2 linked regions of the Drosophila melanogaster genome follow. The protein of the gene in region 2 interacts with the protein of the main gene of each other region in a pairwise test. Each region holds a gene or a part of one and is shown on either strand. Other genes may lie near its edges. The genes, in order: scaf6 and Ccp84Aa.

The links.
Region 1: the proteins of Ccp84Aa (region 2) and scaf6 interact in a two-hybrid assay, tested with the Drosophila melanogaster proteins (one large-scale study listed by BioGRID).

The regions. Positions count from the first base shown.
Region 1 is NT_037436.4:17,036,502-17,044,745, forward strand, and holds scaf6 (SR-related CTD associated factor 6), read right to left. Parts: upstream 6,074-8,244; 5' UTR 5,959-6,073; coding exon 5,937-5,958; intron 5,773-5,936; coding exon 5,602-5,772; intron 5,540-5,601; coding exon 5,193-5,539; coding exon of another isoform or gene 5,184-5,192; exon of another isoform or gene 4,433-5,183; intron 4,101-4,432; coding exon 3,938-4,100; intron 3,710-3,937; coding exon 3,637-3,709; intron 3,130-3,636; coding exon 3,055-3,129; intron 2,833-3,054; coding exon 2,756-2,832; intron 2,693-2,755; coding exon 2,494-2,692; intron 2,432-2,493; coding exon 1,430-2,431; intron 1,373-1,429; coding exon 1,205-1,372; intron 1,134-1,204; coding exon 819-1,133; intron 755-818; coding exon 583-754; intron 530-582; coding exon 431-529; 3' UTR 358-430; downstream 1-357. Other genes in the region: beg (bad egg), read left to right, coding at 1-337; Papst2 (PAPS transporter 2), read left to right, coding at 6,565-7,416, 7,473-7,654, 7,717-7,873; POP5 ribonuclease P/MRP subunit, read right to left, coding at 7,979-8,158, 8,212-8,244.
Region 2 is NT_033777.3:6,702,456-6,705,607, reverse strand, and holds Ccp84Aa (Ccp84Aa), read right to left. Parts: upstream 1,525-3,152; 5' UTR 1,462-1,524; coding exon 1,450-1,461; intron 1,395-1,449; coding exon 789-1,394; 3' UTR 705-788; downstream 1-704. Other genes in the region: Ccp84Ab, read left to right, coding at 2,789-2,800, 2,877-3,152.

The sequences.
Region 1 (8,244 bases), on a different chromosome or scaffold from region 2:
GGCTGTCAGTGGCGCCTTTCACACTCCTCTAATGCAAAGCGCCGTGGAGCCATTTACCAAAGCCCTGAAAACGGTGCGACTTCAGGACCCCGTCATTAGAGTGTACTCCAATGTGGATGGCAAACCCTATCGCCATGCCAAGCACATCCTAACGCAGCTGCCCAAGCAAATCGTGAGGCCCGTCAAGTGGGAGCAGACTCTCCACGAGATGTACGAGCGCAAGCAGGGCGTCGACTTTCCACGCACCTTCGAATGCGGTCCTGGCAAGGGCCTGGTCCAGGTCCTGGAAAAAGTAAATGCCAAGGCCGCTCAATCCAGCTTTAATGTTATAGCCTAATCTTGTATAAAAATTCAGTTCGCTTTTATAAAAATGTATATTTTCTGGGCTAAAGGAAACAAAAAACTGGGAAGTTATGACCGTTGGCAGATCCTAACTCTTGTCGTCTCGCGATCGCATCCGGTGCGCGAAGGCAGCTCCTTTGTTCTTCCGAAAGCTCTCGAAGGGATCGTGCATATTAGCGCCCACTCCCTGTGGATAGAAAATTATAAGTTGTCCTTTCTTGCGCACTCTTGCCACTTCACCTTGTACATCTCTCGACGATCGCGCACCTCGCCTCCCGAAATGGGCGTGTCGATGCCTTGATTCTTTGAGCCCAGTCCAGTTCCCGTGCCCGCCCAACCCATTTTCATGAGCATTTGGTGGCCCTTGTTCGATTCCTCGATGAAATCCGCTGGCTTGGCAAATGTGCTTCCCCTGGAAAAACAAAGATAGCTCATTGGTCCGACTGTCATGAAATTGTACTATAGCCATGATTTACAGAAAGCTCGGAGGTGTTAGAGATCTGTCGCGGTCCACTCGTCTTAGGTTGGTGCTGTTGCCATTGTCTCGGCTATTGGAATTGCCACGATCACCACGGCCCTCTCTGGTATTTGTGCTGCCGCTGTTGTTGTCCCGTTCGTGGCGAGGAGATCGATTGCGACCCTTGCGGTTGTTACCACCGCCCAACCTGCTCCGATTCATCGGTGGCGGCGTTAAAGAGCGCTCCATGGATCGCGAGCGGGATCGGGAGCGAGACAACGATCTATCTCGATGGGGCGGCGTTTTTGAGCGGGAGCGACTGCGACTCTTGGATCTGCGCAAGAAAATAAGTGCAAATATTTCTAGTTTTTGTGTGAAAATTTTTGATGGAAAACCAACACTCACCGATAAACTCGCTTGTTGCTCTTTTTGGGTAGGGGTTTCTCGAGCACAATCGGACTTGGCGACCGCGACTTTTCTCGAATGCCGTCCTTGATTTCCTCTTCTTTTTGCTTTCGCGCCGCATTCTTCACCTTATAGTACTCATAGAGACCAAGCTTCTCCCAACCCTCACTGCAAGATAAGCCCATTTATAAGGAACGCTCAATAACATCAAATTGAAATACTTACTTATCCCTTGGACGATCGTGTGAGGGTGCGGAATAGAAGGCGTTCAATGCATTTGTTAATCGCTCGCTTTGTGGCGCTGGAGCTGGCAGTCGAATGTCCGCCGGATCGAGGGCTTTGTAGTTGTAATCCTCCAGACGAATGAGCGGCACCATGAGGCCCGCTGGCAGGTCGTAGTAAGGCGCTGTGGGTATTTGTGGCTCTCCGATCACAACAGGTTCTCCAGATTCTCCGTCGACCAATTTCTGTGGTTGCTGGCCATCTTCCAATGTTCCGTCTTCGGGTTTGTTGGTTATAACCGCGCGAATGGCTGCATTGAGCACATCCAGATCCACTTCGCTGCTATCAGCATTTTGCTGGCCAGGTCTAACAATATTCTGGGGATAGGCAGCCATTGGCGGCGGCTGCTTTTGCTGCTGCGGTTGTTGCTGCTGCTGCTGCTGCAGTTGGTGCTGTCCTTGTTGCTGAGGGTCGTCAGGATGGTGTTGCTGCTGCATCTGTAAGCACGCCTGAATCGCTGCACTGAGAACGCCAAGATCAACAGGTGGTTCATTGCCAGAACCCGGCGCCTGCATGGGCGGAAACTGTCCCGGTTGTGGCTGCTGCTGGCCCATTGCTGGGCCCTGATTATGATGCATGGGTCCGGGGAAGCCTGGTGGTGGTTTGGACATGTCCGGAATGAAGAAGTTCGGTCCGCGTGGATCCGCAAAGTGATTCCCCGGTGGTGGCTGCTGCTGTTGGAAGTTACCACCTGGATACATATTATTTCCCGCCTGCGGATGCTGCTGATCATGCGGCCCCTGGCTATTCATGTGCTCATGGTCACCCGGCATTGCTATTCGGTGGGACATCAGCGATGGTATGTTCTTCTGCTGATGCTGAAGCATGTGTTGCTGCTGGGACTTCTGGGCCACAATCTGCTGCTCCAGGTGCTGCGCCTGTTTCTCCAGCTGCACAATTTGCTGGCTAGCATGTTGGATAAATACATGATGCTGTTTCTGATAGCTGAAGCATAAGAGTTATGGTTTATTATGTGCTCTATTATGTTCTTGGACTTTTATACTTACTTATCCAAAGTCGCCTTGGTATTCTGCGTGAATTTAGCAGTTATATCATGATGTGTGTTCTGCAGATTGGTTTTGTACTCCTGCATTGACGAGTCCGGTGACTGAAGCTTCGAGATGACGCAGGCATCGAAGAACTTCGCCTTGGACTCCCACAGAGACAGCAGCTTGGCTAGCTTCTGGCGCTGGTCGGGGTTGCCAACTGTGGGCGAGGATAACACTATTAGAAATCCGTAAAGGAATGGATCGAAGTGGAAATACATACTCAAGTCGGCGCTGCAGAACATCGGAATGACGACGTTCTCGAGGCTGTTCTTCAAGTCATTGATGTTCTTGCGCATGCTGTAAATATATCGTTGGACTTAGGTCTCATCTCCTAGCTACTCTAAATGTCAAGGTATGATGTCCGAAGTCCGGTGGTCGGTCAGGTTCAGTCCAATTCTGTCAGCGTAGTCGTCCGCAGAAACTAACCCACAAAGTAGTCTTACTGCTCAGTGGGTTAGTTATTGAGGTCTATGGCCCTTAAATACTATACTATACTAATAATTGACTGGGCGAACTTACCAGTGATGGAGTATATCATTAACTAAATATATAAGATGCAATTTTTGCTGAAACGTTGAACCATTGACCAAAGCCCTAAAAATAAATTAACAAACGAAAAACATATTTTTCTAGTTCTCTGTATGCACAACAACATTGCCAAAAGTACTTGTTGTGCAAGTATAATGATTTTTGTTAGTAAATCTTCTTTCTTTTTGGTATTTGTGTTTTTTTTTTTGGTTTTTTTTTTTTGTCCGATGATTATCACTGTTAAGTGTTGGTGTGTTGTTGTGCGTGTTTATGGTTAAGCTTATTAAGTAAAATGATTTGTTTGGGTGTGTGGCCCTAGCTAAAAGACTTCCGGATCTGGGGACTACTCATATATGATCATAACATCTCTCGAAAACGAATCAACGAATCAATCTCGAGCCTCTCTGTGGAAGTCTCAATCGCACAATCGCTCAATCGATCATCTCTCACTTGTTTGTTCGATATTTCGTATTTCGTTTTTCTATGTTTGGTTAGTATTTCACTCGTTGAAAGAAAGAAACACAATTTAATTAATACATATTGCAGGTCATTAGGTATAAAACTGAGGCATACTTCTTTAAAAGATATTGTAAAACGACATTGATTTTTGCGCTGTCGGTTGAATGCTGTAAAATCCAGTTCTTGCCTAAAATTGCAATATCAAACGGGTTACTCATATTGTCATTGTCCATGGCGATTATAAATTAGGTTTAGGATTAATCAAAAAGTAGTATGGATTCATTTAGTGTGCGCTTTGTGTGCAGCAAAGCTGCGGAGCATCAAAAATTCAGCTCCATTAGCTAACTTATGACTGATTACGAGACTACAAACAAGCAATAATGTAATCCAGCCTGTCCGCTGAACTCGTATTTACCTGCAGAGATGCTGTCCTTCGTGCAGGACTCGATGATCGGCTGCAGAACGCCATCGAAGTCCCTCAGCACAATGCCCTGTTCGCCAGCCATCTGTTCCTGCTGCGCCGTCTGCGCCGCCGCAATTGCATCCTCGATCTGCTTGGTCTTCTGATTCATCAGGGCCTACAGGTTGGTTTCGTTTGGTTGATTGGTGCGATTAGGATCGCAAGCGTTGGTGTGGTTCGGATCGGTTCGGTTTGGTCATTAGGCACACAAAGGTTTGTTCGCATGCATATTCGCATTTTGGGATTCATTTGACAAGCGTTTCAAAACAAATTTGATTTTAGGATTTGTTTTTTTTTTGTTTTTATACAGTTTTGTCAGTTGGTATGAAGAGTGGTTTGATTTGGTTTTTTTTTTTTTGGTTTATGTTTCAAAAAATACAATAAAGCAAAAATTTAATGTAGCATTGTAAATTGTTAATTAAATAGTAAAAATAATGACAAATATAGATTGTAGTTTGATATTGCTGAAAGTACACTTTAACTTTATCTTATCCGCACTTGGAGAACAAGAACTGAGTAGATCGATTGAAAAAACATTTGGAAAAGGGTCGAGAGCAGGATTGATTATTCTGAGGAATTCGTGGATTAGTTTCATAAGAAACAATTTCAAGAGGGAAGTCACTTCCATTACAGGGAAATTCAATAGCGACAAGCAATAAGAAATGTCCTTCTTATTAGAAAGAATTTAGTTCACAGTACTTATAGAGTGAAAAGTCCACAAAAGCAGTTCATAATTATTAATATTAAACACCATTTGATGAACTCTTGTTCCAGAGTTGTTATTACAAAAACTAGGGAATACAAAACTGCCATCTATGAGTCTATGACAATATCTTTGGAAATCATTTAAGTCCGAAAGTATATAAGGGTTATACAAGTTATCTTCTCTCTTAAGAAAATAATTAAAAGCATTCTGGCTTAAAATCGAGGTATATTCACATTCGATTGGGTCGTTTAAAAGGGAGGTCAAAAATTCGAAGAAGCAAACACGTTCTTATATTCAGACTATAAAAGCAACTTTTAGGTGGGTATTTAGTTTAAAAAGGAAACCAATTTGCTTCTTTAAATTTTTGCCAGAGGAGGCCAACATTCAACATGAAATCATATTGAAATCTTTTCTTTATACACTCGAGCTGCTCTAATCTTTCGGAAAAAGGCTTGCAAAGGTGGGCATATAGAGGTATCCCAGTTATTTCCAACTTCAAATTACCGTGTGCTGTGCGGAGAGATTCGCTTCGGATTGCTGGATCTGTTCCCGCAGCGACTTCTGCTGCATCTTGATGGCTTCCAGTTGTGACGTTAGATTCATGGCCATGGGATTGCCATTGGCCTGCTGATTGTTTGGCGGCCCACCGTTGCCGGAGTTCGGCGGCCAGGAGTGCTGTGTTTGCTGTTGCATATTGTCTTGTGCGGTTTCGGGCGGGTGCGGTGGCTGCTGATTGGGTGGCGGATAGAGGCCCGGTGGTTGGGATTGCTGCATTGGCGGCGGATGTTGCATGTAGTGGCCGGATGGAGCACCTGGTGGCAGTTGTTGGTTAATGGCCTGTTGCTTTAGCACTGTATTGGGTGTTAAAAGGAGATTATAGGGGTTATTTTCCACCAATTTAGAACGCACTCACGAGCTTGTTCCGCTGCCACCCTGAATTGATAATAGTTGGCGAACTCCCCGCCGTAGAGGAACTCGAACTTTGGATTGTTCTGCTGCTTCTGCTTGGTTATCGCCTCGAATTCCGGCCCATTTCTGGCCACAAACTCCGCCAGTTTGTCGATAATATTTCGTAAACTGGCATCTGCAAATAGAAAGCAAATGGTTTTTGCAAAAAATGTGAGCATATCAAAGGTTGTGCGTGCGCTTGTTTGTTTGTATGTGTACACATGTGCATGCCAATCGACTTGGGCACAAAATTAGCTTGATTTTAAGTTATATTCAGCACTTTTTAATTGCTGCACTTACCGCGTGGCGGTTGCACGTCCATTTTGCGACTGTTATTAGCACTATTATCCTATGTAAAATACTAAATTCATAACTTTTTGCACTTTTTCAGCGGCACTTTTCACTGCTTCTTCTTGTTTTTTCCGACAGTGTGCCCATATCTTTGTATTCTTAGAACGACATGTAGTCAAATACTAGGAGTTACTCTCGGCACTACTTTTTAAGTAGTTTTTAGCGCTTATCATACGCTTTTTTGAGCAAAAAAGCGGCTTAAACCTTTATCGCTGCTCATTTGTTAAATGTATTTATTGCCAGTAGCAGAAGTTCCAATTAGAATGACGGTGGTAGCAGAGCTGCCAACTTGTTCCACGTTATACCGGTCTCTCTTCTATTATTACCACAACGTGGCAACGCCGCGCGTCTATCTCAGTTCTAAGCTGACAAAAATAGTTTATTTGTGGTAAACAAACATTTAGCCAGGGCAATTTGCACCCAACAGAAATCTCCACGCCGGCCCGTGATTAATGCAGCATCCGAGGAGGCATGACAAATCCGCACTTTAAACCGACAACTCCGCGGACAGCGTGGCATTGAATTACACGGGCTCCCTGGAAATATAATCTTGAAATAGCCACTATATAGTGTGTATATGTATATAGACACATCCGCTAGCAGCAGAATGACCGATAATAAGGGGAGCGTTATCACCATTAATGGCGGCGAATCGGCGGGAAACTCGCCGCCCTCGCAGCGGAAGTCCTCGACGTCGGAATCTCCGCCGGAACTCCGTATCCTTTGCTTTGACCTCACCTACTACAATCGCACAACTCAGTTCCTGCTCAGCTGCGCCGGCGTCTTCTTCCTGTACATCCTGTACGGCTATCTGCAGGAGCTGATCTTCACCGTCGAAGGATTCAAACCCTACGGATGGTTCCTCACGCTCGTCCAGTTTGGCTACTACATCGGCTTCGGTTTGGTGGAGCGGCGGCTGGAGGGCTATCGGATAAGCGGCGGTTCCTTTTGGAACATTGAGCCGGAGCCACGTTGCATTCCCATGAGAACATACCTAATTCTGGCTGCTCTCACGCTGGGTACCATGGGTCTGTCCAACTCAAGTCTCGGCTACCTGAACTATCCCACCCAGGTGATTTTCAAGTGCTGCAAGCTCATTCCCGTGCTGGTGGGCAGCATCCTCATACAGGGCAAACGCTACGGACTGCTGGACTTTGCGGCAGCCACCTGCATGTGCATCGGATTGGCCTGGTTCACGCTGGCCGACTCCCAGATGACGCCCAATTTCAATCTGCTTGGTGTGGCCATGATTTCGGGAGCGCTGCTCTGCGACGCAGCCATTGGCAATGTCCAGGAGAAGGCGATGCGGGAATTCAAGGCGCCCAGCAGTGAGGTGGTGTTCTACTCATACGGCTTGGGTTTTGTGTACCTATTTGTGATTATGCTGGTTACCGGCAACTTCTTCAGCGGCTTTGCATTCTGTTTGGAGGTGGGTAACATTTGAGGTTTATGATGTAAGAGATCTAAAGTGTATTATCCATTTAGCATCCCGTTGAGACCTTCGGCTATGGCTTCCTCTTTAGTTTGTCCGGCTATCTGGGCATTCAGTTTGTGCTGGCTCTGGTGAGGAGTAGTGGTGCCCCCATAGCTGCCACAGTGACCACCGCCCGCAAGGCTGTGACTATAGCCTTCTCCTTTGTGCTTTTCAGCAAGCCCTTTACCTTACAGTAAGTACTATTCTGTGTATTTCTAAAGACAAAGCTCTATTATACCTATCCCAAACTTTCAGATATCTGTGGTCGGGCCTCATCGTTGTCCTGGGCATATATCTCAATGTCTACAGCAAGAGGAACAAGCTGACGTTGGCCGACGTCCGGCAGAGAATAAAGCAATTTGGAGCCAAGGTTGCCCGCTCACCGAGTCGCAAATTCCTCATCGAAGTTTAGAACGATACCAAAAACACTCACATTTTAGTTGAATTGGAAGCATGGGTTTTCTATAAGAAAACCATTAAATATAATTACTTAATTACATTCTAAACAAACTATGTGCTATCTGTCCATGTCGAACTCCATTACGCGCTTGAAGAGATCCTGGCGCTCCTTGGCGGAGGTTATCTGACCCATGGTGCGGTCCAGGAACTGTTTTTGGTGCTTGACTATGAACTTGTTGCATTGGATGATGGTGGCACCAATGTACAGCGTCCTAAACTTGGCCCGTACATCTCCGATCTGAAAGAAATGTGGTTTTATAGCTGGTTTAAGGACATGGCAATGAGACCAACCAAAGTAATCAATGGCAATACGCTGGACACGAA
Region 2 (3,152 bases):
AAAACCTTACACAAAATGGTAGTTACTTATGAAGGTCACTGCATCTCAGCAGTCAAAAAACCGAACTCATTCATAAAACTAAGCTGTTTGCGTTTGCTTGAACATTTTGAAAAGTTTGAACAATCACAGCAAGTTTCATAGATACATCATTTCTATTTAATAATTCTAATTAGTATGATTCTATACGAGTTTTTTGGAAGTGTACTATTTGTAGTCAGTCTATTCTATTGTTTAAATACAAAAAATTAATGGTAATAGGTACGAGCAAAGAGGGGAATGGGAAAGCCGGTCACTGAAGTTCCATTTAGCAAAATCAAATCGAAATCCGGCAAACGAAAAAATCGTTTATATTATATATCCGTTAATTGCTTTTATAAGCACACATGAATATTTCACACCGATCTGATTATGATTTATTATTCGTTGATAGGATTGGCCAACGTCCAGACCCGAATCGAACATCATAGATATCTCAATGGAATGGAGCGATTGAAAGAAAAAATTCAATTTGACTTTAAAACTTTGGAATTTTGGAATTTGGAATTTCAATGTCGCAGCCTAATTCAATTAATTGGCCACACAGCCACTCTAATTTAGCCCTCACGAAGCAAAAGTAATTACAATAAATTGTATTGCTTCGTGAATCGAATTGAGCCCCAGGAAATACATATCCTTTGGATAGGATACAGTGATATAACCTTTTTAAATGTGAAATATATTTTTATATATATAGAAGTCGTTCGTAAAACTATAACAATAAAGAGCTGGGCAATGTGGAATGTCAGTTCTCAGGGGTGGTAGGCAACAGCGGGGGCGGCGTAGTGGGTGGGAGCAGCATAGGTGGCATATGCAGCGGGGGCAGCATAGTGAGCCACTGGGGCCACAGTCTTGACCACAGCAGGAGCAGCGTAGTGGGCAACTGGAGCCACGGTCTTGACCACAGCGGGAGCAGCGTAGTGGGCGACAGCAGGGGCGGCGTATTGGGCAACGGGAGCGGCGACGGTCTTCACAACGGGGGCAACGGCGACGGCCTTGACCAGGGGCTCACGGTTGACAACGGCGTTGAATCCGTTGATGGGATCGGCGGTGTACTGGACGATCCTCTTGTAGCCGTCAGCGTCGATCAGGGAGTACTCTCCGCGTACCACATCTCCATCGCGCTCCTCCACCTGTCCCTTGTTGTCACCGGTTAGCTTGTCATCGACTCCGTAGGAGAAGCGGTACTGGGGGTGGGGGTCGTACTCCTCGGCGGCCTTGACCACGACCTTCTGGGCGACGGCCACGGGGGCGTGGGCGTAGGTGGCCACCGCTGGGGCAGCGTGGTACACCTGTGGGGCGGCGATGGGGGCATAACCGGCGCTGGCCACGGCGACGAAGGCGAGGGCGAAGACAAACTGGGGAACATATTCGTTAGAGAAACGGGTTCTGGTGGGATACCACAGGACTCACCTTGAATGCCATTTTATAGGGTTTTTGGATTCGTGGGTTAGTTCTTTGCGGAAACGGTGCTGATGGCTGAATGATACGGTTTCTGGCCGGCCAGCGGTTTTATAGCTCCCGCTTGCAGTTTCTGCTCAGGTGAAGCAAGGTGCTTACGCTTGGCCTTCTGAATATCATGCTCCAAATTAGCGCGAAGTCACCGCTCTGCGAAGTCAACGGCAAAGTCGGCAGAGACGCCGGCAGAGAACCAAGAGAGGAGAAGGGATTTGCGAATGCGAGATGCAGTCCAATTATTTAGAAAGGATTCGGCGGATTCGCGCGGTGCCCACGTTAAAATTGGTAGTTGGGAATGGATTGCATCTGCTAATAGCGTTTCGATTATCCAAGATATTTTAAGGATGGGATCGTGGATGTCTGGTGGGTGGCCTTGATTCCCACAGACTTCGCAAAAGGGCATTTATTTTGAATGAAGCAGCGATTTTCTATATATTGTACAAAAATAATGCATTGTGTAATATATTTTTAACGTTTATGTTCTAAGACCCATAAATGCCAAACTCTTAAATGTGTATCTGATAAATTATTATCTGAGTGTAAATAGAATGTTAGGTATTTAGATGTAGCTAAGTAGTTGTGTTCCTTAGGACACTAACGCAGACCCAACTTAGCTTTTAGTTTTTAGAACCACAGTTTTTGTAGTGTCAACCAATTTCAAAAAATATTAATCTTTTTTCAAGAGTTTTTTCTTATCCAGCACAGTGTAAAGTTCATTCAACTCTTTAAGATTGCAAATCCGTTCGTATAATTATAATCATATATGTATAGAGTATTTAAAGAATATCAATCAGATTGCACAGTGAACTCTAAAGATTCGAAAATCTTTAAAAAAACCTAATCAAAATTTTGCGATTTGCTTTGTAAGAAAAAAATATATGATCAGTATATCTTCTTAAAGCGATCTTATACAGCGTTATATAACAAAGTAATTAGCCACACATTGCGGCCGGCAAAGCCCTTTCGGTATTACGCAAACCTTTCCCCAAAGATCTTTCACTCTTTCGGTGCTGACGGGTTTAGAATCTGTGGCCACAAGCATTTGCACACCCACTGAGCTTAGCGCCACGAACAGGAAGTACAAGTTATTGCCCGACAACAATCGCAGTCGAGAAGCATTTAATATATTTCGCTGTCACCGCGAAAATAACACGTGCTGTCGGCGTATTGGGCCAAAGCAGAGCAGAGCTGGCAGCTTGATTTACTATAAAAGTTGTCGATCGGACACAGAAAAGTATCATTCGCAGATCCAGTTCACTTCTGTAAAGAACTACCAATCAGCACTCCTAGCAACATGGCCTTCAAGGTGAGTCATCTCGATGGAAATCCGGGATCAACTGTATACGAAATTCCGGTTGGATATCTAACGCTCTTGAATTTAGTTTGTCTTCGCCCTCGCCTTCGTCGCCGTGGCCAGCGCCGGTTATGCTCCCATCGCCGCCCCACAGGTGTACCATGCTGCCCCAGCGGTGGCCACCTACGCCCACGCCCCCGTGGCCGTCGCCCAAAAGGTCGTGGTCAAGGCCGCCGAGGAGTACGACCCCCACCCCCAGTACCGCTTCTCCTACGGAGTCGATGACAAGCTAACCGGTGACAACAAGGGACAGGTGGAGGAGCGCGATGGAGATGTGGTACGCGGAGAGTACTCCCTGATCGAC